Linked DNA regions of Macaca mulatta. The protein of the gene in region 2 purifies or fractionates together with the protein of the main gene of each other region. This does not show direct contact. Links are inferred from orthologs where the notes say so. Each region holds a gene or a part of one and is shown on either strand. Other genes may lie near its edges. The genes, in order: VAPA and RASSF3.

Region 1 (16,324 bases), on a different chromosome or scaffold from region 2:
TTGCTTATGTTTATTATCCAGGAAAAAAATACTAAGAGTCCTTTTGTTCTAAAATAAAAGGTTTCCTAAGTTTCCTGGGGCACCTTATCTATGATCCAAATCAGAGAGCTATTTCCCAAAAAGTAGCCCACACTTTAGTGATGGTTCAAATGAGAATTGTTTTGTCACAAATAAATGATTTATTTAAACTATAAAAATAAAAATATGAACTCAGTCACTGTGATTCTAAAGTTGGCTCCATTTTTTTACCCTATAAGATGAACACAAAACTTCAATCTTTCCTTACTTACATATTCAGTATCAAGGTCCTAAAAAGTCTAAGGAAATCAACAAAATAACATCATACTTTTTCACTGCATTCCAAACATGTAAACACCCAAGAATTAACAGCATCCGTAAAAAGATCAAAATCCTCAAACAAGTGGGGTATATGTATACAACACACTTGATAGGGTTTGGATCTGTGTCCCTGGCAAATCTCATGTCAAATTGTAATCTCCAGTGTTGGAGGTGGGGCCTGGTGGGAAGTGACTGGATTATGGGGTTGGGTCCTTCATGAATGGTTTAGCACCATCCTCGTGGTACTGTTCTCATGATAGAGCTCTCATGAGATCTGGTTGTTAAAAAAGAGTGTAGCACCGCCCCTTCGCTCTCTCTTGCTCCTGTTCCTACCATGTGAGGCATCTGCTCCCCCTTGCTCTCCACCATGACTGGAGGTTTCCTGAGGCCTCCTCAGATACAGAAGCCGTCATGTTGCCTGTACGCCTGCAGAACTGTGAGCCAATTAAACCTCTTTTCTTTATAAATTACCCAGTCTCAGGTATTTCTTTACAGCAATGTGAGAACAGACTAATACAGTACTTAAATACCAGTGTACTTCTTTCTGCACAAGGATACAGGAAGAGGGGCTGGGGAAGTGAGGAAGTGGGGTTAAGACACACTAAAAAAAAATTATGAAGTTCAAGACTTGTTACCTCTACAATATCTGAGGAGAGTGCATCAACAATTGTGATAGCTATTGCAGAATCTGTTTTCAACACTAACCAAATTTTTCTAAGTTGACTACCAAAAATGAAATTTTGATCGACTCTTTAAAGTAAATGTGACCCATAAAAATGGTGCTTATCTGAGGTGATATGTTAATCAGCTTGATTGTGGTGATCATTTAATAATGTATGCATATATTGAAACAAAAAATAAAGGTGTAAAGAACCCCTATGAACTTCTCCACTGCTCTAAACACTAAATAAAGCTGAACAAAAAATACAAATGCCATCCAGAGTTCTATGTTAAATCCTAAGCTGTTACCAGCAATGCAGTTAAAAATTAAACTGATTTTGCTTAAGTTAACACACTTTTTACAACATACTAATAAACTAAAAGAATAAAAGATCGAAAGATCTCAAAGAATTATCTGTATCACAATCATAACTGTAAGATAAAAAGTATATTTTCCACTCTATACTTTTAAAAAATACATCACCAAGTTTTCAAAACATTTTTGTTCATCTTGCACATTTAGAAATGTATTTTCTTTGAATAAGGGAGTGTCATATTTCAGCAATTGTGTAAGTCAGGATTCAGCGTCATATAGCATTTTACCAATTCATCTGAAGTAAATTAACAAACTGTGTATCACACTATCCAATAATGTTCTAATTTCCAAAGAGCCAAATTTCATGCTAAACAAAGAAAACGAATATTAACTACTAATTTTATCTACAGATACGAGAAAGAAACTAACATGTCAAAAATATATTTTTTAACCAGTTTCATCAACTTCACCTATAAAGAATATTGACCTAGAAAGAGCAGGATACAATTATCAATAGGGTCTTATTACCACATGAATAAAATATTAAGAAAGAGGTGTTCTGTTATTTACCTTTAGACAGATATAAAAGGTTTTATCCTTAATTGTTAGAAACAAAAACTTCTTATATATTTTGTGCCATCATAAGACTTCAGATTTGGTACCTTAAGATTTCATATTTTCTATTAAAGATGAGATGCAACATTAAATTGATAACTTGAAAGTCACACAATCAATTAACAACCCAGATAGAACTCGGTCTGTGCCAGGTTGCACTGAGTTTAAACACATTTCTCAGTATGTAACATTTCTTGTACAATCTGCAGGTTAGTTAATATTACAAAAGTGAGTTTAGGCAGGAACAGTATTTCCCAAAGTATATTTTTTCAGAACATCGGTATTTCCTAATTAGGTTATTCTAAATAAAAAAAAAAAAATACTGGATTAAATATATTTCTTTACCATTAAGTTTTCTCAGAGCCTTTAATAGGCAGATACACATGTGATTCCTCTTGGAGACATTTACAGTATTTTTCCAAGCTCACTTGACTACAGAACGCTTCCAACCTAATACACTGGGAAATACTGCCTTATAAAAACACGGTTGTGTTTTAGTCTCTCTTTAACATACACATTAATCAATTAAGGCCACTTCCAGCCTAGATAGTATAGACACAATTTTTGCAAGTTCCAATTACATAAATTTGAAATGGTGATATATTACAATCTTTAAGTCTCATTTTATGTGTAAAACTTGAAATGTAAATTATAAACATTCAAAAACATCCATCAAAAATCATAACGGCAAGGCCAGTGAGCCATGAACGTCATAAATTATATTTATCTATTGCTATACTGAAACACCACTTCAGCCGGTTCATAGAAGTACCTGACCATTCTTCTCAGGATCAGTATTGGATTTTGCACATTTTGAATTACCCAACATAATCCAACCATAAAATGCAATCATTATCCCAAGAAATAAAAGGATCCACATCATCCTATATGCTGTTTTATCATTAAAATTTTACCATTTGAAGAAGCACCTTCAAATGAAAAATGGGCCTCCACTCTTATCTTGGTCAAAAAAATGAATAGAGAGTTTGACAAAATTAAAAATCAATTTTGTCACAGGGCCCCGGCCGACTGTAGTCCTGAAATACCATCTCCCACTGAAATGGTCCTGAGCTTCTTTCCAGGTCTGAACCTGGAAAAATCTTGCCACATTAGACAAGAAAATTACCAAAGACTATGAGGATCAAAAAATCTCAAGAACCAATGTGAAAAGTATCCTTACCAGGCAACTTGAGCACCAATAATAATAATTAACTGCCAAGAGTTAAAACTCAAATATGTTTAAATTCATGAGTTTTATCAATATAGAAGCAGGGAGGGAAGAAAGAAAGGATGGAAAGTGGAAGATCAACTGTACATCACGAGGTGGGATGCTTACAAACCAACTCATTTTTCAAAACCTTTAAAGATAAACTTTGGCATTTGTTCTGCCTTTTTAAACTCTACCACTTAATAACCAAATATTACATAAGCACAAGTTTCTCTTTACACAAGTATTGTAACTAGTGTTATGAAGCAGGAATGACAGAGTATCACCATCAGACAATCTTAAATGAATTAACAGACCTAGGCCATACTGTCTCAATCTCAACTTTACTGACATTTTGAGCCAGATTATTCTTTGTTGTGGGGGCTGTTCTGTGCATCACAGGAAGTTGAAAGGCATCTCTGGCCTCTAACCAGGTTACCTGTAGCACCCTTACCTACCTCTCAGTCATGAAAACCAAAAATGTTTCCAAACACGGTCCCTAGAGGAGCAAATCGATTGCCCCTGGATGAGAACCACTCATTTCAAGCTTTCAATCATAGGAAATACCAGGGACAGGGGAAAAAGGCTAAATGGCACCACAAGGATGGAATCAGCAAAATCAAGTCTGTGGGAACGTCTATAGGCAAACATAGTTTAATACTAAAAACATTCAATAATTTGCAAAAAAAAAAAAAAAAAAGAGAGAGGAAACAACAAACTAAGAGATTTAAGAAACGTATCATCCAACAGAAGTATTTGGACTCGGCCAGGTGCGGTGGCTCACACCTGTAACCCCAGCACACTTTGGGAGGCCAAGGCAGGTGGATCACCTGAGGTCAGGATTTTGAGACCAGTCTGGCAAAAGCCTGTCTCTACAAAAAATACAAAAATTAGCCAGGTGTGGTGGCGTGCACCTGTAATCCCAGCTACTAGAGGCTAAGGCAGGAGAACTGCTTGAATCCGTGAGGCACAGGTTGCAGTGCGCCAGGATCGTGCTACTGCACTCCAGCCTGAACAACAGAGCAAGACTCCATCTCAAAGAAAAACAAAAAAAAAAAAGAACAACTATTTGGACTTTATTTTCATCTAATTCAAACAAACTGCAGAAAAAAAAAATTTTTAATGACATCTGTGACAAGTTTTAATGCTGCCTGGATAGCCTGATATTAAGGATATGCTAAATTTTTAAAGGCATAGTAACAGTATTGTCATTAAAACTCTTTTATCTTTTTTTTTAAAGTACTTTGAAAGATATACATTCAAACAGTTACAGATTAAAGTATACCATGTCTGGGATTTGCCTTAAACAATACCTAAGATGAGAAGTAATAGGATTTATATATAATAAGCTTAACCACAAACTAGTCATTGTTAAAGCTGCTCATAAGTTCACAGAGGTGCATTATACTCCTCCTACCTACTCTTCTAGGTGCTTCAAGTTTTTCAAAATAAATCTTCTTAAAAATTATCTTTAGCAGATATTTCCTACAATTTAATATACAAGTCCAGATAATCCAATTAGTGAAAATACATGAGCACCTAGCTAATCAAGGCTCAGACTCAAGATATTCTCTAGAGTACTTTGAAGTTACTTAACAGCTTTCAGGTCACTAGTAATACCTGCTCTGAAAAGGTTCCACGTTCAAACTACTGCTGCTCGAGTTCCACCACAGGCGATTCTGGGAACTCCATTCGGTATTTGCTCAAGCGCTAAAAGAGACCCAAAACTACTTTCTTGGATAACTATGGGCTAGACCAACAGGTAGGCATAACGGCTCCTTTCACCCAAGATGGGTAAATCGCTGGGTTCAACTGTCATTACTGTATCAGTAATGGTTTGGTTTCCAAACCAGTGAGAGCTACTCTTAATCAGCAGTATCAAATACCTGCGGTCTCAATCCTTTTCACACACCTCAAAGTGTGTGCTATCCAGAGCACAGCAGAAGCCCAGATAGAAGACAGATTTATGCTGACTGAATTACTGTAAAAAATGACATAAAACTCTAAGTGAGAAAATATCCAAATGTTTTTTTAAAAAGTCAATCCAGACAATACGCTGTTTTGTTTTCTTGATTTCAACAGTAAGAGCTGTGCAAGCTATTAGCTTCCCTCAGCCTAAGCCAAAAAAGAAAACCTCTAAATGGGAAGCATACACAGACCATCTAACACTCACTTTACAGAGAATATACGTGTTCACATTTTTTTGCTTTTGGCAAATACCTCAAAAATCACTTAAAAGAGGTATTTTAAAAATTCAAAAACTAATTTGGTCAACACCTAATTGCCAGAGACCTTTTCATTTCTGCTTATCCTGAAAGAGAAACACAGTAACTGAGCCCACGTATTTAATCTGCATGTTTACTTTTCAATAGAGCAAATTGCCACCAGATTAAGGCAGTAGTCATGTCAGACTGTAACCAAATCGTGCCAAACAATTCTATTTATCCATATTATTGTATGTATTAAGTCACATACACACACAGAAAAACTTATCTTTCAAGTCTCTCTTACCATAGGGAAAGATTCAAATTTGCAACCCAGACAGGGAAAAGGACAAGGTAAGTGACTATAATCCACTCTGTACATTCACCGACTACTATTTGTTTGTTTTTAAATAAACACATATATCCCTCAGTCCCCCAAATTGTATTTGACCTACACTAATGAGTAAGCAGCATAACAATTATTTACTAAAGAATGCAATCAGATGGATTTGACTAAAAACAAAAGTGAGCAAAATACCTGGGAATAGCTAAACCTGGAATAAACTGTCCATGTAAGTGAATTTTTTATCCCCAAACTGCTGGTACATAATGGCCAAAAAGCAATTTATATGTATTTTTAAATTATGTATACATGTCTCATTCTAAAAAAGAACCTGTAGTGGTTTACGCCACAAAAATCTGCTATACTTAAAGGATTCTTCTCCAGGATGTAGTCTAGACCTAAAAGTGAGTCTTTCTTTCTTCTTGGATAAACAAAATGTTATTTTTTAAAAAAAAAAAAGTATACCAAGTTTTTTAAAACTTAACCACTGAGTCTTATGACATGAAAGAGCCATAACACACATACCTCAAAGGTCAAAAATAGAAGCAAAATTAATCAAAGGAACTGAGCGCTCAACAGCTTCAATTTTTTTTTACATTTTCCTACTTACCAATTTGTCATTTTCATTAGGCATTTCAAATACACATCTCAATTTGGAATCCATTAATTCATCAGGTTTTGCCTCTTTCCACTAAAAAATAAACAAAACCAAAAATGAGACATAGGAGGTATGATCATGGTAAGTAAGTGTGACCTCATGGGACAGCTAAAAGATGAGTGTAGCTGCCTGGCTTGGCTGAAATACACTGGTGCCCTCTTCACTGATCACCCTGCCATTGTTACTGGCTAATGTCACAGAATATATAATCCTAGAGTTACTATCACCATCCATTAAAATCACGATGATATCACTAGCAACCACAGGACTTTCTTCTTAAGAGCAGCATTTCTTTCTTTTTTCTCTTTTTCCAGTTGGTCTCATTCTGTCTCCTAGGCTGGAGTGCAGTGGCCACTCCTGGGCTCAAGCAAGCCTCCTGGGTAGCTGGGACTACAGGCATCTGTTGGTTTTTTTACTTGTTGGGTTTTGTTTTTTTTTTTTTTTTAATCGTAGAGACAGGGTCTTGTCATGTCGCCTGGGCTGGTCTTGAACTCCTGGGCTTGAGATACTCCCATCTTAGCCTCCCAAAGGGCTGGGATTACAGGTGTGAGCCACTGCACTAGGCCAGTAGCAGCATTTCTAAATTGTTTCTAAAAAAAAAAAAAAATACTATTTAAAAATTCTTGGCCGGGCGCGGTGGCTCACGCCTGTAATCCCAGCACTTTGGGAGGCCAAGGCGGGCGGATCACAAGGTCAGGAGATCGAGACGATGGTGAAACCCCGTCTCTACTAAAAATAGAAAAAATTAGCCGGGCACAGTGGCGGGCGCCTGTAGTCCCAGCTACTCGGGAGGCTGAGGCAGGAGAATGGCGTGAACCCGGGAGGCGGAGCTTGCAGTGAGCCGAGATTGCGCCACTGCACTCCAGCCTGGGTGACAGAGCGAGACTTCGTCTCAAAAAAAGAAAAAAAAAAAAAAAATTCTTTCATTCTGTAAGTTAGGATTATCTACAATGAAGATATTGGCACTTTTTTAAAAATCTAAATTTAACTTTTAGTTTTTAGAAATTAAGTTTTTCTACTGACTGCTGAACAAAACCCACAGTTTAAACTCCACTCCCCAAAATAAATTCTTCTTCTGTACTTACCACAGCTTCCATATCTGAAGTGTTTGGTGGAGCAAAAATTGTCTGTACCATAAACTTGTGTTTACTCTTTTCATTCGGATCATAGTCAAAGGGCTGTAGCATTACTAAATAAGAAAAAAAGGATATATTATATTGTCTCCTGCATGTTTGAAAGACATACATTGAAACAGTTACAGATTAAATTATACCAAGTCCGGGATTTGCCTTAAACAGTATCTGGCCATAGTATCATTCCCATTACTTCACAAATATGCAAATTTAAAGAAAACCAAGAAGGGTTCAAGAAACCAAACACCAGAATGTTTAAGAATCCAGAATCAACTTAATGGATCCCAAGTATTTTCAAATTGTCTGCCTTTCTAATTTACTAAGTTTTCCACAACCAACAAAATAAACAATTGCAATTAAAAATTAAATATGAATCTATGATTTTGCCCTTTCTAAACTCAGCTTGTGAAAATTTTCAAAACTTTGCCAGTGTTAACTATAATGCCTATAAGTTCAGATAAAATCTACTAAGTTATTAAAACTCGTTATGAATTTAGGCTTCATTTTAGTGTTTTCTGATTTAAAATTATATAGCTGGCATATTTAAAGGAGAAATAGTAACTTAAAACCTCACTACCATCTATTTTTTGCTTTTTAAAACTGAGTCTTACTCTGTCGTGAGGCTGCAGTGCAGTGGCGCCATCTCTGCTCACTGTAGCCTCAACCTCCCTGGGCTCATTTTGTAGAGAAAGGGTTTTCGCCATTTTGCCCAGGCTGGTATCAAATTCCTGGGCTCAAGAGATCCGCCTTCCTCAGCCTCCCAAAGTGCTAGGAATAAATGCGTTAGCCGCAGTGCCCAGCCCATATATTAATATAATTAATTTTTCAAAAATGTATTTTAAATAAACATCTATTTCAGTTTATGAATTTATTTCAATCTTCTAAGAAAACAAAAGTACACAAGGAAACCATATAGCCTCTTGATTTCTAAAATATATTCTACAGTCTCAATAACATTCAAAATTTTTAAGCATTTATAATTTCCCAACTTTTAAGTTTTCTAAGGTTCCATGTGGTTGTAAGTCATGCTAAATTCATGTAACGTGAGTCCAATATGAGACTATATAAAAAATGAATCAACAGTTACACAAAGTATGTACACGGTATTATAGAAATTATTTCCCTAACTTTGGATTATTTCTAAGATATATCTCCACACTTTCGAAAAGATAAACACGAGTAAATAAATGTAGAAAATAACAATTATGTAATAAAGTCTTATTCACAAGGTGTGTCTGATAAGTCCATTAACTGCTATCAAGGTTAAGACAACTTTTTCAAGGGGCCAAATACACAGCAGCAGGAAATGTACTGGATAAAATGCCTCAGAATACAGCTTAAGCTAAATAAAATTCCATTAGCAACCTTCACTAAGTAATCATTATAAGCTAATCACTATGAACCAAAAATCTGTGAATAAAAAGAAAACTTACAACATGGTTAAGTTCATGGCAGTTACACTCTAATTTAGGTTGCAGACCACAAAACGAGACAAAGACGATCTTGAAAACATATATAAAAATGTGCACAAATTGGAACAAATTCAAAAAAAAGTGTCAAAGGGACACGGGGAAAAAGAGAAATGAGCATGTAGTACAGAGAATTAACCAGAGAAGGTTGCTGGAAGAAGCATACCTTTGAGTGACTGTAAATGGAAATAAACTACACTAAAAATTGGAAAAGTCAAATTCTCATTGAAGTAGAGCAATCCAAGGGCATGTTTGTGTAATCAGTAACCAGTTTGTCTGCAGGTTTTAATAAGGCAGGTTTCTGTGGAAGAAAATGCTTTGATACGTTATTTTCTCAAGAAATATTAATACACAGAAACCAGCAATCTAGGCCCCTCAAAGAAAAAATCATTCTGCATAGCTGTTTGGATTCCTAGGGATATAACTGTTTGTACCAATAAACTATTTTTAGCCATGTGGATTGAAATAATTATATCTTCTGGCCAGGTGCAGTGGCTCACGCCTGTAATCCCAGCCTTTGGGGAGGCTAACGTGGACGGATCACTTGAGGTCAGGAGTTCGAGACCAGCCTGGCCATCATGGTGAAACTCTGTCTCTACTAAAAATATAAAAATGAGCCAGGCTGTTGGCGCACGCCTGTAATCCTAGCTACTCAAGTGGCTGAGGCATGAGAATCACTTGAACCCAGGAGGCGGAAGTTGCAGTCAGCTGAGATTACATCACTGCACTCCTGCCTGGGCAACAGAGCAAGACATTGTCTCCAAAAAAAAGAAAAAAGAAAACAAGAAAGAATTATCTCTTCTTCCAATTGTGCTAAAGGCTTAAAGATGTAGTCGAAAGCAGCAACATCCAGAGAGCATGCATTCCTTCATCTTTATTTCCCATCTCTTCATCCCAAGAACTGATGAATTAGACTTAGCAAAGAAACATGAAAGGCACTCCTCCCAGGCCTCCTTAACACAAGATTCACTAAAACATCTTTTTCCTCGCTGTTGAGGTTTTTGGCTATACCTGCCGAGAGAAGATTTAGCGTCACCAAAAACTCGATGGTCTGTCCTTCATGGCCTTTGCACTCAGGTTCCACCTCTAAATACTCTCAATGAGCCTACCCTGGGTTCTCTCTCTCTCTACCCAATTCTGCTGTGGACTTGAAAACTGATATGGAATTATTGTATCTTGGGATTACTTATCAAGATCACCCAGGCCTTTTTTTTTTTTTTTAATGTGCACTTTTTTTTTTGAGATGGAGTCTTACTCTGTCGCCCAGGCTGAAGTGCAGTGGTGTGGTCTCGGCTCACTGCAACCTCCGCCTCCTGGGTTCAAGCAATTCTCTGCCTCAGCCTCCCAAGTAGCTGGGACCACAGGTGCCCAACACCACACCCGGCTAATTTTTTGTATTTTTAGTACAGACAGGGTTTCACCATCTTGATCAGGCTGGTCTTGAACTCCTGACCTCGTGATCCACCCGCCTCGGCCTCCCAAAATGTTGGGATTACAGGTGTGAGCCACCGCGCCCAGCATAAACGTACACATTTCTAAGCCATGCTCCCAGAGATTCTGATCTGAGAGAGATGAATCCATGTGTGTTCCCGCTCCCTGCGTTATTACAGCACATAGTGGGAGTTGAGAAGTACTGCTGTAAAGGAAGAGTAAATGCAGCCTCAGAGGTTCTCCCCTAAGTAAAATACATGGAACCATATAAGTTCTCATATTTAGTTCCTATTTCTCAGCTATATCAGTGAAGTCAGAGGGACTGAGAAAGAAAAAAACAGTTTATAGGGGAATTAGCTATGGTACCAGTATCGACTCCATAGCAGGAGTAAGCAATCCATATATGGCAAGCATACTTCTTTGACAAGTAAACACGTAAGAGAGTAGTAAAATAAAAGTTTTCACACGCAGGACACTGTTGACATTTACAATGAAAGACATAAAGACTCATCTGATTTGACACAGTAGGCAAAAAAGTGGCATTATACCTTCTTAAGCAGAAGAATTATGACACTTCTACAGCTGCATGCAACGTATAATATGATCATGATCTGAAGGAGAATGACCCATCAGAAAAATGGTATAATTTTTCAAAGATAAAATAACAAAGGCAGAGAAGGTAGTGGTTAGCTGTAGAAATAAAGACTAGATATAAAGTTTGTAATTGACAATAATTTCTTATAAACTGACCACACTCCCTACACAGATGAGAGTGAGAAATTTTCTGAAACAGCTTGCATATAGTACAATAACAAGACATCTTTAAAGGCAAAGCCAGAATAATAGAAGAATTATCTCCCTCCCTCCAGATGAAACCTTATTAAACAAAAACAGAATCATAAAATGTCAAAATTCAAATGTACATAAATCCAGAACATGATTTGCTACCTGAAACAGTCACAGTTGACCCTGGGTCAATGATTCCACTGTTGGGCCTCACACAGTACCGGCGAGGTGCTGTAGTCTTCACTTTGAAACACACTTTTCTATCCGACGGATTTCGCAATTTAAGATTTGTAGTGACTACATCTGTGAAGGGGCCTGTAAAGTTTAAAAATTAAAGAGAAAACAAAATTTAATTGGATTCTCCACAACAAAGGAATCAAAACTGAAAGTACGTAACTTCAATTTTAATTATGTGTTGACATTTGTAGGCATAAATATCCCAAATGGCTACTAACACTGCCTTTCTCCAGGTGGTAGACTTAAAAAAAAGTCGTGTTTTCTTCTTCATTCCCTGTATTTCACAAAATTTCTACCATAAACATGTATGATTTCTATCAAAAAAAGTACTGTGAAACTTCTGATCTATGAAGTTTACAACTGTATTTTTATAGTATGTTGTTAACACATTGCTGAAAATATCAGAATTTCCCAGTTGTCTGCAAACCAGTGTCAATCTTCAAGTTCATTTTACTAGGCCAACTGCAAAAATCTCTACAACTGAAGACCCTACACCCTATGACATCAGTGCTTTTGCTTTACCTCAATTTTGTTTGTTCATTCATTCAATCCATTCATTCATTCACATATTTGTTAAGTGTTTATTATGCCATATGCTCTAGATACAAAGTTTTTAAGCTTTGGTTCTGCACCCAAACAACATAAAATCACAAAACAAAGAACCCAAAAGGCTCATCCATTTTGCTAAAGAAAGGCCTAAAGAAAAATTATGCAGATTAATTTAGACAACAAAATAAATACCGGTTAATTTGGAGGCAGAAGATAAAAACATGTTCCAGTTGGGAACAATAACCACAGTTCTAACTATTCCAAAAGTAATTTTAAATGATTCTAAAAACAATTCGTTTGAAGTTATATTTTTTTTAAAAAAAGCTAGAAGGCTGGAATCAAAGACAACTATTATAAAGGCTATCTTTTCTTTATTTCAACTTTAAGAATAAGCATGTCTTTTAAAATTTTACAAAGGCAAGGTCATTAAAAGACACTTATTATCAAGCCCTAAGAAGTAAACTGATTTTATCCTATGCTTAAAGTTTGTGAGTAGTAAAATATTTTCTAATAAATAAAAATTTGGAACTAGGATGAGAGAAAGGAGATAAAAATGAGTGAAAATTAGAAGAAAGCATGTAAAGGCAGGTTTTAGAAAAGAAAGCATTTTAATATTGGGGAAAAAAAGCATACATGTGATAAAGTACAATGTTCTGAACTGCTTGTTTCATTATATGGCCAAACTAATCATTCCATTTACAACATACACCCCTTGCTGCTTCTTCAACCCCAAGTGCTTGCATTTTCTTTTTGAAAAGCATCTGATTAACAACTCCACCATAAAACTAGTATAAGAGTAAAGACAAAAAACTCCAATGTGTCCATTTTACTACAGGAATCCACAAAATGGCTGGCTGGAGATATGTTTTGAACTGATAAAACTAGAAGTCTTAAAGGCGAATTCCATTTCTTAACATTCTCAAATCCATAATTAGTACAAACACTTTAAATTAATGTAAAATTTTATAGGACTATTTTGAGGACTTTAACATTAGTAGCAAGCACAGATTAAAATAAAGATCCAATTTCTTAGTAACATGACAAAAAGACATGTCACAAAATTTTAATTTTGAACAATCCTAATCCATAATATGAATACCTATTTTTAATTATGTATTTATGTATTTTCATAACATAATTATGTAAGTTTTTAGTATTTGAATGTTTTATTAATTTAATTCTCTCCAATTTTAAAAAGTACCAATTATCCAAACTAAGGTAAAATAATTTTTTAACTGATTTTTAAAATGACTGTGGGTCAGTTTTGATCAACAAACTCTACAAGAGTTGTACAAATTCTGAAATAGTATTTACATTTCATGATATTGCCCACCAGGGATTATAAATTGTCAATACAGATTGTGGGATTTCTAGACATAAAAGTATAAATTATCTAAAGATGATGATAATATATCAAAAGAAATACACCCCACCAATTCAGAACAAAACTCTTAACACGGCATGTTAACCTTGCAAGTAAAATGTAGAATTACCTATAATAAACCCACCCAACAAACGAATTTGAGATTTTCTGCTCCATTGTATATCCCTCTAACCTAGCCTCTCAATGAGGGTTGCTCCCAGCAGATAGTTAAGATTTGAGCCCCTTTCCTAGTTTAAAATGGAAAATTATCAAGTACTTATGACCATTAGCAAAGGAATAACCAGATTTAACAGCTAAAAAAGGTCATGGGAAGAAATATGTGGTCCACTTTTGTGAGTTACAGAATCCTTTAAGAACCTGATGAAAGCCGTATCCTACACCTCAGAAAAACATACATAGGTAAATATTCACAAAAATTTTACACTGACTTTTATGGAAGGTAAAACGAGTTAGAGAGCTGGGTTCAGGGATAGAGGGGCTGTATCATGTACCCCCAGGAGCTGCTGATTTAAAAGGCCTGACGAAGAAATCTACCTTAAGATCTTCGGAAAAGAGAAGTTATATACCTACTGAAAGTGCTACAAACATAACCCTTTAGGTGATACTGCCCCTTACAAGGTGTTTTCATTAGGCATTATGATTGGGTGGTACTTACTGGGGTGGGAGGTGGGGGCAGGAAACAGGACAGTAGACATTCTGCAATGCAGACCCACACAATGAAGTCCTATGTTCCCACTGCATCGCATTTTCAAATACTCCTCCAGAAATTCATATTGGTGGAAAATCTCTTTTCCAAGTATTCATCTATTATGTGAACAGGAAAAATGTGTACTCTTTTCTTCAAAATGTTAAAAGGTGAGTTCACCATTACAGAAGATTAGTCTACCAATAGCAATGCCACTCATGATACCTGAATCACCAATACAACACATCTGAATTAGTCAGCAGGCATTTGTAGGTGACACCTTCACATGAATCTACCTATATGCATATTCTTATTTTGCCCTTTTATCAATGTTAAGAAAAACTGTCAGTACTATTCAGATAACTCGTCTTATTTCTCTTAAATCCAAACGTACTCATCTTAAGTAGATACAAACATCTGACTACAAACTTAAGTAGGGTACAAGTATTTGACTTCTTCATTATGTCTTCTAGGGTAGTCATGCCCAAACACACTTAAAATGAGCATTCCATTATAAAATTACTTCCTTTTTTTCCCCTTATGTTATATAGCTAGGGTATATATATTTTAAAATTTTTAATTACATATGTTATTGGTCATTTTATATATGAATTTCTTTTCAGGATAGTAATAGGAACATTACAAAATCTAAAAATGAGGTATGAAGTTAGAGTTAAGAACCCCTGAATTAAACCAATAATCTCCTGCTTTACTAATTGAACATGTATCCTTTGTAAGGCTTAGGTGATTAAACCATCAAGAGAAACAAGTGACTACCATAAAAGTCAGGATAATGGTTAATCCTGCAGTGGAAGTAACTGGGAGAGGGTAAAAGGAGAGCTTTGCCGAATGCTAGCCAAGTTCTATTTCTCACCCTGGAGGTGATTATATGAGTATTTAATTTTTAATAATTCCTTGAACTGTATATATCTTTTCTTTATGAAAAACAAAAAAGTTTTTTTAAAAAAACTAATCCTTGACATAACCTTGAAAATTTGAAAAAAACAGTGAAAAGCAGTTTTGATGACAAAGTGAACATCTGATGCAATTTATGGAGTGAACAAATATGTTTCGAGGATTTCTGAAACTTAATCCCTATAAATGGGGAAATCCTATCATTTGCCCGATATAAATGCTTAGTTTAACATTTAGGAAACAATTTTTGAACTAGTCCATTTTAATCAAAAGTACTGATAAAAACTTATGTTAGAGATATGTCACTGTTTATAATGAACTATCCCGTATAAAAAAAGAAAACTGCATACAAGTTACATTTATTTGCACTCTTATATTGAAAATCTACAATTAAAATACTTCTACCTTTCAATTATGTGGCTGTTGTTCTTTGGAAGCCTGACCATTTCCTGCCACTAAGTATTCTGTCCCAACTCCTCTATAGCTGTCACTGCCATTAAGTCAAAATCCTGCTCCTAGTCCCAAATTCTTACAATCAAACAGAAATGTAACACAAACACAAATGTGGCCTCTGAGTAAAAAAGTCTGAACATAAGTTTTTTTAAAACTTACAACGTGAGATGTCAAAAATACTAGAAAATTTTAAGGCAGCTCACCCAGAGCTGCCTTCGTTGCCAATTTTAAGGCAGTCAAGTGGGACTGGCCTGCCTCGTTTGCCTAAAAACCTTTTTTCCAGCATGAAATACCCTTTTTAGTCAGTCCACATATGTAAAATTCAACCATTCAGAACAACGGCTTCCTTTTAAATAGCAGGACCTTTCTTCTCCAAACTGCCCAGTCTTAAAAGGAATCCCACTAAGCTAAGAAGAGCTACCAAAAACAAAACAAAAAACAAAAAGAACCACTCTTAAAAACTGTTATCATTCATCCATATTTTGATGTGAACTACTGATAACAAAGTTATCTTGAAATCCTGAGTTCAGTTCAGCTGCAAAGAGAATCAACTGTGGAAGAGGGGAACAGTTAGCTTTTCCCCCAACATTTTATTATGAAAAATTTGACACAGAAATTGAGATAACTATATAAACACTCATACATCATCACTCACATTCTACAATCAACATTGTGCTGTATTTACTTTGCAGCGTATCTATCTGCCCTGTCCAGACATCCACTTCATTTCTGATGCACATCAAAGCAAGCTGAAGACATCAGCACGGTCACTCCTGAACACCTCAGTATGCGTATCAACTTTCGTATTTGTTTTGTTAAAGAGTATAAAATTAATACAGGATAAGCAGGAGTATATCACACAGAACATTTCAGAAAACGCCTCAAAAATGTAGCTTAAGAATAAACAGACAATGTACATGAACATTAATTTATGAACTCT
Region 2 (16,800 bases):
AAGGTCTAATATTTGGGGCAAGAGAGATGAATATTTGCTTGACCCTATTCTACGCCAAGGACTTTGCCTGGATTCTTTTACTTAATCCTTACAGTAAACCAAAGAAAATAATATGAGGACACTGTCATGCCCATTTTGCTGCTGATGAACCTGAGGCATAGAGAAGTTAATTAAACTGTTAAAGGTCACATAAGAGTCAGTGATAGAGTTATCATTCAAATTTGGGTCTGCTCGACCTCCAAGGGCATGCTTTTTCCATATCACACAGGTATCAAGGTAATACTTATTTGTCAGTATGTGTGTGAACCTTTTATAAATCTTTGGATGAAGCATCTTAGTTCCCAGCACATTGTAAGAGTATTACCTATGATTATAATTACACACATATAAATCTTATTATGCATGTAGTTTCGTGATGTGCTTTAAAAAATATTTGCCAACCTCATGAGTGAAAAAAAATAGACTTTGTTTTCATTTGCTTTAGTTTTCATAAGCTTCAGCAGTCTATTCCCCACCCAGCAAACAAAGGGGTCCATTAAGAAGGTAAGTCAAATATTGTCATTCCTCTGCTCAAAATCTCTGGTGGTTTCTCATCTCAGAGTAAAAGCCAAAACGGAAGTCCATACCATTGCTTTCCAGGTATTACAGAAACACAGAAACAGTAACCCCTCTGTCTCTGTCATCTTTTCTTTTTCTCTCTTTCTTTTTTTTTTTTTTTTTTGAGATAGCGTCTCACTCTGTCACCCAGGCTGGAGTGCAGTGGCACGATCTTGACTCACTGCATCAGTTACTTTTCCATCAAAATTCTTCCTACTATTCTGCTCTCCACTTGCCCACTTAGAAACACTGGCTTCTTGGCTCTTATTTAAACATGCCAAGCATCCTTCTGCCTCAGGGCCTTTGCACATGCTGTTCTCCCACCTGGAAATGTTTTTCCCACAGATATCTGTATGGCCAGCTCTCTCACCTCCTATACATCGTTGCTCAAATGTGACTTCATTGAGACCTTCAGTAACCAGTCCATGTACAATATTCTTTATCTTTCTTCCACAATTTTTGTGAAACTACTTATTTCCTTCTAACATACTAGCTCCATTAGAATAAGCATTTGTGTTTGTTTTGTCCAGTGATGTATCCTTTGTGCTAAGATCAGTGTCTAGCAGATAGTATATGCTCAATAAATATTTGTTGGCTGAGTGAATGTTTTAACATATAAATGACTGATAAATTATTCATATTTCTTCTTTTATGAACTGCTTGTTCTGTCTTTTACTTATTTTTCTATTGGGTGTTCAACATTTTTATTGATTTGCATGAGCTCCCTATATTTTAAGTATATCAGTCCTGTGTTGTTTATATTGCAAACATTCCCCCCATTTTTTCCTTGTCTTTTAATATTGTATGTATGTGTGTGAATGTGTGTGTGTGTGTGTTTAAAATATTTAAATTTTTACATAATCAAATCCACAAAACTTTTCCTCTGTAATACCGTGTTATCTTTATTAGGACAAATTAGCAAAAGAAATATTTTACTTCTAAATGTATTTAGTCAAAGGGTGAGTTGTGTTTGAAATTTTTTCTGCACTTATTACATCTGTGTTTCTATTATTCGTGGCAGTGGGTACTTAGCCAGAATATGATTTAAACTTTTTGATTGATAATCACATTTATATAGAATTGTTATTTTCATGACGATTTATCTGTTGAGCAAGAAAGGTTAAAACTGTAACTAAAGTCTCCCCTTTTATATTAAGGGAAATGATTTGATATACAGGATTATTAAAATTATAAAACATTTGTGTGTTTATAATACTTCACATCTTTTTTTTTAAAATTATAGTTTAAGTTCTAGGGTACATGTGCACAACGTGCAGGTTTGTTGCATATGTATACATGTGCCGTGTTGGTGTGCTGCACCCATTAACTCGTCATTTACATTAGGTATATCTCCTAATGCTATCCCTTCCCCCACCCCCCACAATAGGACCCGGTGTGTGATGTTCCCCTTCCTGTGTCCAAGTGATCTCATTGTTCAATTCTCACCTATGAGTGAGAACATGAGGTATTTGGTTTTCTGTTCTTGCGATAGTTTGCTGAGAATGATGGTTTCCAGCTGCATCTATGTCGCTACAAAGGACACGAACTTTGAGATGGAGTCTTGCTCTGTTGCCCAGGCTGGAGTGCAGTGGTGTGATCTCGGCTCACTGCAAGCTCTGCCTCCCAGGTTCATGACACTCTCCTGCCTCAGCCTCTGGAGTAGCTGGGACTACAGGCGCCTGCTACCATGCCCGGCTAATTTTTTCTTTTTTTTTTTGTATTTTTAGTAGAGACGGGGTTTCACTGTGTTAGCCGGGATGGTCTCGATCTCCTGACCTTGTGATCCGCCTGCCTCGGCCTCCCAAAGTGCTGGGATTACAGGCGTGAGCCACCGCGCCCTGCCCAAATAAAGTTTTAAATCGATTCCTCATTTAACGTAGAAACAAAGGCGTATTAGGCTATAAATGTAATCATTAGGATCTTATATCACTGAAATAGTAATGATGATACAGTCTACATACAAATTCAATTGTGTGTTTGATGATAAGTCCTTTCAAAACTGAACTTGAGCTGTGCATGGTGGCTCACACCTGTAATCCCAGCACTTTAGGAAGCCAAGGCAGGCGGATTACCTGAGGTCAGGAGTTTGAGACCAGCCTGGCCAACATGGTGAAACCCTGTCTCTACCAAAAATACAAAACTTGGCTGGGTGTGGCGGTGCGCGCCTGTAATCCTAGCTACTCAGGAGGCTGAGGTGGGAGAATCGCTTGAACCCAGGAGGCAGAGGTTGCAGTGAGCTGAGATCATAGCACTGCACTCCAGCCTGGGCAACAGAGTGAGACTGCATCTCAAAAAAACAAAACGAAACTTGAACTTCGTTGCATACATTTAACTTTATTTATTCTACCCCCTTCCCTGAATTTGAAATGTTAAAAATGTCTGGTTGTTTAACATGACATTTTGAATTTTTACAGATACAATTTTCATGAACTAAATTTTAAATTCACAGTATTTTAATTTAAAATGCTACTAAGCTAGGCACGGTGGCTCACACCTGTAATCCCAGCCCTTTTGGAGGCCAAGGTGGGAGGATCACTTGAGCCCAGGAGTTCATCAAGACCAGCCTGGGCAACATAGTGAGATCTTGTCTCTACAAAAAAATATATATATATATAAAAATTAGCCAGGCCTGGTGGCATATGCCTGTAGTCCCAGCTACTGGGGAGGCCAAGGTGGGAGAACTGCTTGAGCTTGGGAGGTCCAGGCTGCAGTGAGCCAACATGGCACCACTGCACTCCAGCAACGAAGTGAGACCCTGTCTCAAAAAAAAAAAAAAAAAAAAAAAAGTTACCAGAAAAATATACAAATATCATTACGCTGCTTTTAGGAAACAAAATCACAATTCTTCATTCCTTCCTTCCTTCATTTATTTATTTATTTATTTATTTATTTTTTGAGGCAGTCTCCCTCTGTCACCTAGGATGGAGTGCAGTGGCATGATCTCAGCTCACTGCAACCTCTGCCTCCAGGGTTCAAGTGACTCTCCTACCTCAGCCTCCCGGATAGCTGGGACTACAGGCATGTGCCACCATGCCCGGCTAATTTTTTTATATTTTTAGTAGAGATGGGGTTTCACCATGTTGGTCAGGCTGGTTTTGAACTCCTGACCTCAAGTGATCCGCCGGCCTCAGCCTCCCAAAATGCTGGGGTTACAGTCGTGAGCCACCTCACTCGGCCCTTTCCTTTATTTATGTTTGTTTGTTTGTTTTTTGTTGCTTAGAAGCAGTGCTTCCATTTCATTATTTGATCATCGCTTTTTAAATTATTTTATTTATTTATTTTTTTAAGAGACAGACTCTTACTCTATTACCCAGGCTAGAGTGCAGTGATAAGATCAGTTCATTACAGCCTCAAACTTCTGGGCTCAAGTGATCCACCCACCTAGCCTCCTGAGTAGCTGGGACCACTGGCATGTGACACCACATTGGCTAATTGTTTTTTGTTTTTTGTTTTTGTAGAGACAGGGTCTCATTTTGTTGCCCAGGCTGGTCTTGAACTCCTGGCTTCAAGCAATCCTCCCACCTCGGCCTTCCAAATTGCTGGGATTACAGGTGTAAACCACCGTGCCTGGCCTAATCATGCCTTTATAAAAAAAATCATTTTTTTTAGAGAACAGGTCTCACTATGTTGGTCAGGCTGGACAGGAACTCCTGAGTTCAAGTGATCCTTATCCTCAGCTTCCCCCTGTACCCCACTCAATCATGTCTTTTTATTATAACTGATTCTGATGGTATGCTGACAGATATATAAATTAATCCGGTCCTTTGGAACTTAAAAATAATACAATGAAAAAAATCATTTTTGTGGTGTGGTGCATCATAAAGCTATTTATTTATTTATTTATTGAGATGAAGTTTTGCTCTTGTCGCCCAGGCTGGAGTGCAATGACGCCATCTCGGCTCATTGCAACCTACGCCCCTCCCGGTTCAAGCGATTCTGCAGCCTCAGCCTCCCGAGTAGGTGGGATTACAGGCGCGCGCTACCACGCCCAACTAATTTTTGTAGTTTTAGTAGAGGCGGGGTTTCACCACGTTGGCCAGGCTGGTTTCCAGCTCCTGACCTCAGGTGATCCACCCTCCTTGGCCTCCTACAGGCGTGAGTCACAGCCCCCGCCCAATGAAGCATTTTAATGCATTTTTCCTCAAAGTATTGATAAACTTCAACTTGTTTTGGGTAAAATTATTTCCCCCTTTCTACCCACAATAAAATGAGTAATTTAAGTCCTTAACCTACACATTATTCTTACATTGGTATATTTAATAAGAGCTGCGCTAATATTATATCTGAATAATGAAATAAGAGAAACCAAAAAAGAAAAATTTGTCATAAAGCCCTATTCTCCTACATTAGATTATGTGCATGGCACACACAGGGATCAGCTTAAACTGGGTGAAACTTACATGGAGTTAGAATTCCTGGCTTCCTATCATTCAGTGGCTGTGTGGCTAAGAAGACTTTAATGTTGTAGGACCTTTAAAATGGGCTGTAACTCAAAGGCCCTTCTTCTGGAGTTGTTGTGAATCACGTGGGGTAATATACTATTTTACAAGATGGATGTGTAAGCCCTGAAGGTGGAGCAGATTTGCAAGCCTTCTTTCAGCCTGGGGACAGTAGGATGACTCATGAGCCAATTCTTCTCTCCTTCCCGTCATTTCGGGTCCAACTCTTCCTCCTGTAGTCCACAAAAGAGCACGGCTGACCGGCTGACCGAGACCAAGCAGAGAACCCAGTAGGGTTTGTGACCACGTTCAGATCAGCAGAACGCAGAGCAGAACGGTCCGAGTACTGCCGCCTACAGCCACTTTCCTCTCTTTAAGCCTCAGCTGCTGCTCTAGGTGTAAAACCGGCATAAAATAGTACTACCTACCTTACAGAGTTGCTCGGAGGATTGAAGGAGATAATGTAAGAGAGTTTGGCTAGTTTGGCTATGCTGGACATTTTCTCTTTTCTAACGTCTCTCTTCCCCTCCTAATGAAACCTCCTCTGAAGCTCGCTAACCATAGCAGGGCTTGCAGCTTCAAAATAACCTTTCGGTCAAGATCTTGAAATTAGTATGATTTGGGGCCGGGCGCGGTGGCTCAAGCCTGTAATCCCAGCACTTTGGGAGGCCGAGACGGGTGGATCACGAGGTCAGGAGATCGAGACCATCCTGGCTAACACGGTGAAACCCCGTCTCTGCTAAGAAATACAAAAAACTAGCCGGGCGAGGTGGCAGGCGCCTATAGTCCCAGCTACTGGGGAGGCTGAGGCAGGAGAATGGCGTGAACCTGAGGCAGGAGAATGGCATGAACTGGGGAGGCGGAGCTTGCAGTGAGCTGAGATCCGGCCACTGCACTCCAGCCTGGGCGACAGAGGGAGACTCCGTCTCAAAAAACAAAAAAACAAAAAAAAAGAAATTAGTATGATTTAAATCAGTGCAGTAACACTAAGGTGTAAAAGACTGTTACCCACAGGTGGCTTTAAAAGAGGATTAGCTGACTGGAAGAATTTTAGAAAACATGGAAACTTTTTTTTTGTACGTGGATGAATAGAATTCCCTGATCTCCTTATCCCCACCACTTAAACCATGCCTGTGGGTGACCGTGGAAGGCTGATTGTGGCGGGGACATTTACAAAGCACATTTAATTAATAAGCACTCGATTGTTCTGTAACTATAGAACTAGTTCACCCTTCAGTTGCACTGAGTGCGCCTAAGATAACGATCTTATCTGGAAGTGAGCCCTCGCTAGAAAGAAGGGGAAAAGGATAAGACCGAAGCTCAAATGAATGACCAGAAAGGATGTTTTCATTCGAATAAACTCAACCCAGTTGTTGACCTCCGCACCCATCTCTGCCAACTTGAAATCCTCCAGGCGGGGCGAGCTGCTGGGGTTCAGGACGGCTGCAGGAAGCCGTGGGACGTGGGGGGCCCTTCCACAGGGCCGGGCAACCCCCACCCACCCCCACCCACCCCCACAGGACCCTGGGAGGGGGACGAGCAGGGTGTGGACAGCAGAGAAAGTTCCCCGCTCTGCCCCCGCCCTCTCCGAAACTCGAGCCAGCAAGGCTGGGGGCGGGCGGACGGCTCGCAGAGGAATTTGCAGTTTCCGGGAGGTTGAGGAAGCGACCCGAGCACAGCTCCACCAGATGCAGCCCTAGTGCCCGGCTTTCCGGGTTCCGCGACGCTGCCGGGAGAAACCCGCGCGCCTGGAAGGGGCGGGCTGGGCCGGGCTCCCCCCACCTGCGGGCGGGCGAGGAGGGTCGGGCCCGCGCCGGGTGGGGCTCGGCCGGTCGCCCGTCCGGGGCGGAGCCCAGGGAGGCGGGGTCGAGGGCGCACCGGGGCCGAGCCGCGCCTGGAGCCGGGCGGGGAGGCGACGGGAGGGGCCGGGACGCCTGATTGAGCGGCGGCCGCAGCTGCAGCAGGACGGCCCGGGGCCGCGCGCCGGGAACCTCGCGGGGCTGGCGGGCGCCGCACCCCCTCCCTGGCCGCCTGCGCCCCCGGGAGGCCGCCCGGGCGCTACGGGACCGGCAGCATGAGCAGCGGCTACAGCAGCCTGGAGGAGGACGCCGAGGACTTCTTCTTCACCGCCAGGACCTCCTTCTTCAGGAGAGCGCCTCAGGGCAAGCCCCGCTCCGGCCAGCAAGTGAGTGCGAGCGGCGGGCGCTGCAGTCTGCGTCCCGGAGCTCCAGGGAACCCGCCAGCCCGCACCCCCTGACTCCACGTGTCTCTGCGGGGCGCTCGGGGGATGCTCGCCGGGAAGGAGGAACGGGCCAAGAAGTGGCTTCTGCCTTTTCGGGTCCCGGGAACGTGCCTGGAGCTTGTGCATGTGGGCGAGAGAAGGCGGAGGAAGGGCGGGGAGGCTGAGGGCCGGCTTCTGCCTTCCGCGCCAGATGGCCTCTGCAGCTCCATCTCGGGCCGCCGCCTGCGGGGAGCAGTCCCGGAGCCAGCAGGCGTCCCCGGGCCTCTCCCCCATGTTTCCCCTTAGCGTCCCCGCTGGGTCGACGGTCGGGTTCGCGCGCCTGTCCTTCCTGTTAGTCTGCTCACTCATCTGTGGCCCCCGGAGTGGCTTGGGGTCAACGTGTAATAGCTAGGGGTGGCCAGGTGACCTGGCCTCCCCTCTTCCTGGGCCGGGCGCCGCGGTGGGGTGGGGGTCCAGGGGTACCGCGGGCCTCGCTACCGTAGGCGCTAACTAAATCTCGGTTGCGGGACTCAGGGTTGTGCGTTTCCTGTAACGCTAGGTTTTTTGGTGCCCAGATGTTTTGCAAACAAGCTCCGATGCTAAATACTAGCCAGCGACAGCTAACCTTTTGGCCGGTTTCTTCCTTTTTTGGAGGCAGCACGCCGTGGGAAGCACGACTTGGGAAAAGATGGGAAGGGAACTTGTGCCAGTTTCGCCAGCCGTAGCCGTGTTTCTTAGGGAGGCCTTCCCGAAACGGGGCACGTCGGCTGGACTGAGGACCCCGGTGCTAGAACCCGCGGCCTCCTGGCACTGGGAGCCGCACCAGGGAGCCGGGCCAACCCGCTCACATCAGATTACAGAAGATCGTAATGGAACAAATTTGTTGCTTTTAGAAAATAGGCGTTTGCCAGACATTTCTATTAATACCAGACTGAGACCTAGAGACTAGAAGCAAGAAGAATCGTTCAGGGGCCGGATGATAACTTTTTCTGGTGGGTGTGGGAGGGTGCAATCTGTCAGGGTGGTCTTGCCAGACCTCTTAAGTTTAGCCACTTGCTGAAGTAAAATTCTTTCTAAAATTCGGAAGTTGTAGTCTTTTCAGGCTCTTAAGTCTCAAACCAGGAGGAGGAGAGGAGACGGTGAAGGGTAAGCTAAAGTCAAGTGCCCTTATTCAGTAACCGCAGTTAATCTCCAGTCAAGTCCCAGTGCCATAGTTGTCCGTCTTGTATTGTTTCTAAGACTTAAGGCCCCACTATTTACGAGTCACTTTGAGTGGGATCTCTTACTTTCCGCAGAGTGTGTTCTAAAAGCATGAGATTTTGCTGTGAAGTTTGGAAGTTGGAAATGCCCTCCCCTCCCCACGCCTACCCTCCCTGGGTTATAGAAAAATTGCATTTGCTTATGCTTTTTCCATTTTGCTTTTCTCTTTCTTGGCTCTCTCTTCCCCTTGTCCGTTTTGCATTTTCTCCTTTCGTTTATGTTGCTTTCATCACTTGACATGAAAAGGAACTCATGCTAGTTTGAAGTTTATTCCAGAGGTGTCTGCTAATCTGAAAACTAGCTGGTTCTTGGATTCTCCAGGGGTGAGATGCCACAAGGGCCAAAGTATTCAGATTGGAATTGTATGACAATCCTTTAGTGCTTTAAAGAGTAAAGACATCAGATTTCTTTTCCAGGTTTATATGCATTTAGCATTTTTTTTTTTTTTTTTTTTTTTTGAGATGGAGTCTCACTGCATTACCCAGGCTGGAGTGCAGTCGTGTGATCTCAGCTCACTGCAACCTCTGCTTCCCTGGTGCAAGCGATTTCCTTGCCTCAGCCTCCCAAGTAGCTGAGATTACAGGCATGCACCACCACATCTGGCTAATTTTTGTATTTTTAGTAGAGATGGGATTTCACCATGTTGGCCAGGCTGGTCTCCAACTCCTGGCCTCAGGTAATCTGCCAGCCTCGGCCTCCCAAAGTGCAGGGATTACAGGTGTGAGCCACCGCCCCTGGCGCATTTATTGTTTCTATGTTGTATGCATTAATTTATGTAATATTCATCTAGCATATATACTCAGGGTAGTAGTATTTAGCATTTAGAATTAGTCTAACGTTAATATGTATTTTGAAATAATGTGTTGGAAATCAGGACAGGAAAACATAGTTCCGTGCTTGAAGAGCTTCATATGTGTATCTGAAGTTTTATTGCCTGCATATTTTTCCCTTCTAATATAAGACATGTAAGGTGCTGAGTTGTAGGAGTTATTTGCCAGGCGAAGTGTTCTAAACTGAATTTTAGTGGGCATTGTGGTTTATTTAAAGAGGTGATACGAATGTTTTAAAATTCCTGGTAAGATTGGTGAATTAGGGAAGTAAAACATCATAAATTTAAAGCAAAGCGCTCTTAATGTAGAACGTTTCTTTTCTCTAAGGTTAGATAAGCTTTTTTCTTCATTTTCATGCTGATGATTATAAGAATAAGATAAGCACTTCTGACATATAGCATAGTAGTGAAATTTATCCTTTCTCTAGAGAGATGGAAAGAGAGGTGTTGCTAGAAGGATCTATTAGAGATACAGTGATTTTTTTTTGGATGTTGTACCACCTAGTGGAAAAGTGAGAAAAATTAGGTTTCTAGAATTCTTGAAAATATGCTGAGAAAACAAGATGTTTGTGGTAAATGCAGAGTGGGGAGAAAGGGGTGAGGGAGCGGGTGGACTAGAAATTTCTTTCTTCTCTTGCCAGGCAAGGGAACATAGCCTAACTTCTTTCTATCCCCAACAGTAACAAAACCTTATAGATATAAAGAAAATATGGCCGGGCGCGGTGGCTCAAGCCTGTAATCCCAGAACTTTGGGAGGCCGAGACGGGCGGATCACGAGGTCAGGAGATCGAGACCATCCTGGCTAACCCCGTGAAACCCCGTCTCTACTAAAAAATACAAAAAACTAGCCGGGCAAGGTGGCGGGCGCCTGCAGTCCCAGCTACTCGGGAGGCTGAGGCAGGAGAATGGCGTAAACCCGGGAGGCGGAGCTTGCAGTGAGCTGAGATCCGGCCACTGCACTCCAGCCTGGGTAACAGAGCGAGACTCTGTCTCAAAAAAAAAAAAAAAGAAAATATTATCATTTTTTTTTCCTTATTTTAAACCCCATTCTTAACAACAACAACAACAACAAAATGGAAAAGGGTTAAAAACCTGTCTAGGCCAGGTGTGATAGCTCATACCTGTAATCCCAGCACTTTGGGAGGCTGAGATGGGAGGATTGCTTAAGCCCAGGAGTTCGAGAACAGCCTGGACAACATGGCAAAACCCCGTCTCTACAAAAAAAATGCAAAAATTAGCCAGGCATGGTGGTACCCGCCTGTAGTCCCAGCTGCTTGGCAGACTGAGGTGGGAGTATTGCTTAAGGCTGGGAGGCAGAGGTTGCAGTGAGCTGTGATTGCACCACTGCACTCCAGCCTGGGCAACAGAGCGAGACCCTGTCTCAAAAACAAAACTGTCTAAAAGATATAAAGGGAATGAACATAAAACTTTTTGTGGCAGTTTGAATGTTATGTTTATTGTATCCCCAGGGTCTGGATCAGTACCTGATATACAGTAGTTGCTCAGTGAATGCAAGCTGAATGAATGAATGTTTTTCTGATTTGATAATAACTGGATTTTTTTTATTTTTTTGAGATGGAGTTTTGCTCTTGTTGCCCAGGCTGGAGGGCAATGGCGCGATCTCGGCTTACTGCAACCTCTGCCTCCTGGGTGCAAACGATTCTCCTGCCTCAGCCTCCCAAGTAGCTGGGATTACAGGCGCCTGCCACCATGCCCAGCTAAATTTTGTAGTAGAGACGGGGTCTCACCGTGTTGGCCAGGCTGGTCTTGAACTCCTGACTGCAGGTGATCCACCCACCTCAGCCTCCCAAAGTGCTGGGATTACAGGTGTGAGCCACTGCGCCTGGCCCCTGATCTTTACCATTTTCAAATGTACTCTATCTTATGGTTCTCCCAAAAACTGTATGAAACATTAACTTAATGAAAGGGGGAGGTATTATTTAGTGATTGTGTAAGGCCCACACCTAGATAGCAAGAAGGCTGGAACTCAGGTTTTCTGACTCAAATTACACTCTCCATTTTGTTGCTTTTTAGCTATAAAAATAATTTTACGGCCCCATATTCCCTTTGCAAATAAGGACACCTAAAATTTAAGAGTTTCTTAAAAATTTTTTTTTTTTTTTGAGATAGATTCTCACTATGTTCCCCAGACTGGAGTGCAGTGGCGGGATCTTGGCTCACTGCAGCCTCTGCCTCCCAGGATCAAATGATTCTCATACCTCAGCCTCCTGAGTAGCTGGGATTACAGGCATCTGCTGCCAGGCCTGGCTTTTTTTTTTTTTTTTTGTATTTTAGTCGAGACAGGGTTTTGCCATGTTGGCCAGGCTGGTCTTGAACTTCTGACCTTAAGTGATCTGTCCTCCTTGGCCTCCCAAAGTGCTGGGATTACAGGCATGAGCCACCGTGCCTGGCCGTTTCTTAAAATTTCAACTCCCTGACGTGCACATATTGTCATGACAGTGTTTATAATTTGTATTTGTGGATTCCTTGTGTTTCAAAGGATCCACCTAATCATTGTTTTCAGCAGAATCAAAAATGTGGACAGTTCTGTAATTTATTATATGCCTTCTTGATTTCCCACCAAAATCAAACTGCCTGTAAATAGAGGACACATTCAAATTTCCAAAGAGTAGAAATGGTCTAAAATTATAATCTGTTGGAGTGTGTCTTATCTCTTAGCTAAGCTCCCTCTCCTGAGCCTTTGGTAGTTCATGGGAATAAGGAAATGAGACAGTTTGCTTTAGAAGTAGGATAGTCAAGAAGTCTTGAGAAACGTGAAATTGTCTTCTGAACAACCCACACATAAAAAAAATTGTGCTAAAGAATTTTTCAGTAAGTAAGCCTATGAGACTCCACATAGCAGGCCTCATCTTCACCCTTTTGGTTTTCCCTTTCTTATTCAAATACTTTTGTGCCTCAGTTATTTGGTTGTGTCTTACTGCTAGAATCAATAGTAATGAGCTGCACTCTTTTATTAGTGTTTCCATTAGAAGTTTCAGAGCTAGATCACTGGGGTAAAAGGATCGTGGTTTATGACATTATAGGTATTTTGACTATACTAGCCGTTTTTTTTTTTTTTTTTTTTTTTTGAGATGGAGCTTCGCTCTTGTCGTCCAGGCTGGAGTGCAGTGGTGTAATCTCGGCTCTCTGCACCCTGTGCCTCCTGGGTTCAAGTGATTCTCCTGCCTCAGCCTCCCGAGTAGCTGGGATTACAGGTGCCCGTCACAATGCCCAGCTAATTTTTTGTATTTTTAGTAGAGACAGGCTTTTGCCATGTTGGGCAAGCTGGTCTTGAACTCCCGATCTCAGGTGATCCACCCACCTCGGCCTCCCAAAGTGCTAGGATTACAGACGTGAGCCACTGCTCCTGGCATATACTAGCTTTTTAAATGCTAATTTTTAATTCCCGTATTATGGAGCATAAACATTTTCACTAGACATTTTGCCTAGCGCAACGTGATTTACACATCTTGTCTGCATGTCTGATGTGTTCTGTTCTTACATGATATTAATCCATTGGAATTTTGTGTTTGTGTGAGCAAGATTCACAAAGGCATATTCCTTTAAATGAATTTCAAGAAAATTAGTTTCTAGTCTTATAAAGCCTCATATTTGAGCAATATACTCCTTATCCCATTTCTTCTTCTGGCTAACTCGCAAGATTTGGAATTATTTGGAAAGCAGTGACACAAAACATTTTTGAAAAGAAAGGCTAAAAATATCCAATAATGTGGTTTTTCTTTTTAGACTTCCTTTGGCAGTCAGTGCCTGTCATACTGTTAACATTCTTTTTCTGGGAGAAAAAAAGACCGAGGCTGACCAAATGCTTTCTAGTGTGGCCTGATTACCAGCTCTTAGCCCTGGGCATTAGCCCTTGCATTTTCCACCCCCAGTCTCCAAGCAGAAGTAGCTGTCTTTAAATAAAGGTCCCAGTTTGAAACATGCATTTCACTCCTAATTTGGCCAAAGGCCATTGGCTAGCAGTCCCTCTTCAGAGGGGATGGTGAAAAGACAGTAGGATATATGATAAATGCATGCAAAGGAGCTTCTCTTCTATATGACAAATCTTGGCTAACTTAGCCTCTTTATATCTTCCTTTCTTTGAAGAGCTACACACATTTGCCTTGTAGGAAGTTTTTATTCTCATCACAAGCAGGCCTCTATTACAAGGCCCCCGTTTATTGTTCACCCTGTGATGTAATAACTTTGAGGACTTTAGCCATGTTAGCCTTCTCTTTAATTCCTTTCAGGCCCCATCCCCATCTTGGAACCATGGCCAGGAGTTGCCGCCCTCCATTCTCCTTAACATGTCTACTCAAAAAAGTCTAAAAGCCCTCTGTTCTTTCCCTTCATAGCAAAAATTACAATTTGTCATTATATTTTGTTTAATGAGGACCGAGATTAGCATTTTTTACCTACTACATAAAATAAATTCTTAGCAGTTAAGGTGCTTGAAAAAATGAAAGCCTGCTCATTTTGGATGGATGTCCCAGTATTTGGTACTGTTAGTTTTCCTTTATACACGAATGTACACAGTGTCTCCCCCTTTCCAAACTAGACCATAAGCCTTCACAGTATCTTACTGGTAGTAGTGATTTAAAATGGTATGGTATTGGTGATACCTGTGATTACTGGTTAGTCAAAATTCACTTTATATACTTTTCCCTTGTTTTAAGAAAACTCATCATGTATTTGTTAATCTATTTAGTTGACAATTTATTGAGTGCCTACTATGTGCCAGATACTGTTCTAGGCTCCGGGGTTAGGGTGGTGAACAATATACAGTCCCTAGCCTCTTTTGGCAATGTTTTTAAAAAGCTTACCCGTGGCCGGGCGCGGTGGCTCAAGCCTGTAATCCCAGCACTTTGGGAGGCCGAGACGGGCGGATCATGAGGTCAGGAGATCGAGACCATCCTGGCTAACATGGTGAAACCCCGTCTCTACTAAAAATACAAAAAACTAGCCGGGCGTGGTGGCGGGCGCCTGTAGTCCCAGCTACTCCCAGCTACTTGGAGGCTGAGGCGGGAGAATGGCGTGAACCCGGGAGGCGGAGCTTGCAGTGAGCCGAGATCGCGCCACTGCACTCCAGCCTGGGCGACACAGCGAGACTCCGTCTCAAAAAAAAAAAAAACAAAACAAAACTAGCCGGGCGAGTTGGCGGGCGCCTGTAGTCCCAGCTACTTGGGAGGCTGAGGCAGGAGAATGGCGTGAACCTGGGAGGCGGAGCTTGCAGTGAGCTGAGATCGTGCCACTGCACTCCAGCCTGGGCGACAGCGCGAGACTCCGTCTCAAAAATAAATAAATAAATAAATAAAATAAAAAGCTTACCCAATAGGCAAATGAAAATGTCTCTCTTAATTTTTCCCTAAAGAGCTTGCTCCTTTAGTGTATTTGAGGAAACTTTGAAATGTAGTTTTTCAGGAACACACCTATTTTGTAGTGCGGTAAAGCTATACATTGATTGATTGACTGAGTGATACGCAGTCTTGCTCTACCGCTCAGGCTGGAGTGCGATGGTGCGATCTCTCCTCACCGCAACCTCCGCCTCCTGGGTTCCAGCGATTCCCCTGCCTCAGCCTCCCCAGTAGCTGAGATTACAGGCGCGCGCCACCACGTGCAGCTAATTTTTTGTATTTTTAGTAGAGATGGGGTTTCACCATGTTGGCCAGGCTGGTCTTGAACTCCTGACCTTGTGATCCACCCGCCTTGGCCTCCCAAAGTGTTGGGATTACAGGAAAGAGCTACTGCGCCTGACCCTACACATCTATTTAGATGGGAATGTTGACGTGGAAATGTATCCCTTCCTGTTTTACATCCCTGTGTAAAACAATTGCATTTCCTTATTGATGACTGTCTTCCAACAGAAACATAATCATCTTCAAGGTTAGAAAATGTTTTTTTAGTAACTTCAACCAGAGTTAACTGAACTGGTTAATTCACCAAAATGTTAACCAAAATTAACCAAAGAAATCAACCAAATTTGGTTTATTTTCCAGCTCTTTTTTTTTTTTCTTTTCTTTTTTCGTTTTTAAAGAGATGGGATCATTCTATGTTGCCCAAGCTAACCTGCAGTTGTTATTCACAGGCATGATAATAGTGCCCTCTAGCCTCGAACTCCTGGGCCCACATGATCCTCCTGCCTCAGCCTCCTGAGTATTCCTGGTTTTTCTTAATAGTTTAAACAGATAGTTCTGGTTTGGCTATCAGTAGTGTTGTTAAATAACTTTTGTTTGCTTAATGTTTTTGTTTTTTTTTGAGATGAGTCTTGATCTGTTGCCCAGGCTGGAGTGCAGTGGTGTGATCTCGGCTCACTGCAACCTCCGCCTCCTGGGTTCAAGCAATTCTCCTGCCTTAGCTGGGAGTACAGGGGCATGCCACCATCCCCAGCTAATTTTTGTATTTTTTAAGTAGGGACAGGGTTTTACCACGTTGGCCAGACTGGTCTCAAACTCCGGACCTCATGATTCTCCCGCCTCGGCCTCCCAAAGTGCTGGGATTACAGGTGTCAGTCACCGTGCCTGGCCCTTTTTTTTTTTTTTTTTAAATGGAGAGGGCCAGATAATGCTCTAGGAAGGATGTCAGAACCCATAAAAAATGATGAGTGTGTGAAATATATGTAAAAACCTATGTAACAAATCAGAAAATATATTCTGAGATAGAAGTGACCATTCTAAAACTGTGCTGTACAATACAGTCACTAGCCACATGTAGTTTTTGAGCACTCAAGAGGTGGCTAGTCTGAATTGAGATTGCTGTGAAAAATACACACTGGATTTTGAAGACTAGAAAGAAGTAATGTAAAATATATTATCATAATTGAAAAATTGCAATTACATGTTGAAATGATAATATTTGATAATATTTGAGTTAAGTAAGTTTAATGTTACTTATTTTTTGCATGGCTACTGGAAAACTGAAAATGATGCATGTGGCTCGCATTATATTTTTGTTGAACAATGCTGTTTGCTAAAGCAGAGCTGGCAGCCCTTGCCGGAGGTTTGAATCTCCATTGTTTTGGTGGCTGCAGATGGATGGATGTGGGGGTACCAGCCTGGTGTGTTGGAAAGATTTTTCTTTGTGAAGGGGAACTTGCCCTTTACTGTTGGGGATAGTTTCTTCTCAGCCTATCCAGGGACACACCAGCATTTTGGGGTTGTGAAACTTTTGTGTGAGGAACTTCCCCTTTTTTTTTCACATGAGCCAATAAGATAAAACTGACCTAATGACATTCTCAGTGCAACTCTGCCTTCAGTTTATGGAGAGAAGAGGGCTCATGTTTCATAGAGTATTAAAGCAGTAAGCTTAATATTTTGCATTTTATGGACTGTAATTGCTAACTTCTGCTACATGATTCAGTCAGCTAAGAATAATTTACTAATTATATATTGCAGCACTCGGTTCTTTTTCCAGATGCTAAACAAAGTGAGATAATTAGAGGAGGAAAAAGGGTGAGT

The links.
Region 1: the proteins of RASSF3 (region 2) and VAPA purify together in Homo sapiens (co-immunoprecipitation; 3 studies listed by BioGRID and IntAct, with this or other methods). This does not show direct contact. The link is inferred for Macaca mulatta from reciprocal best matches to the Homo sapiens genes RASSF3 and VAPA.

The regions. Positions count from the first base shown.
Region 1 is NC_133423.1:80,888,931-80,905,254, reverse strand, and holds part of VAPA (vesicle-associated membrane protein-associated protein A), read right to left. Parts: intron 14,242-16,324; exon of another isoform or gene 14,136-14,241; 5' UTR 14,078-14,135; coding exon 13,987-14,077; intron 11,477-13,986; coding exon 11,324-11,476; intron 7,532-11,323; coding exon 7,428-7,531; intron 6,376-7,427; coding exon 6,295-6,375; intron 1-6,294. UniProt on the Homo sapiens protein: Endoplasmic reticulum (ER)-anchored protein that mediates the formation of contact sites between the ER and endosomes via interaction with FFAT motif-containing proteins such as STARD3 or WDR44.
Region 2 is NC_133416.1:71,730,089-71,746,888, forward strand, and holds the start of RASSF3 (ras association domain-containing protein 3), read left to right. Parts: upstream 1-6,972; 5' UTR 6,973-7,110; coding exon 7,111-7,221; intron 7,222-16,800.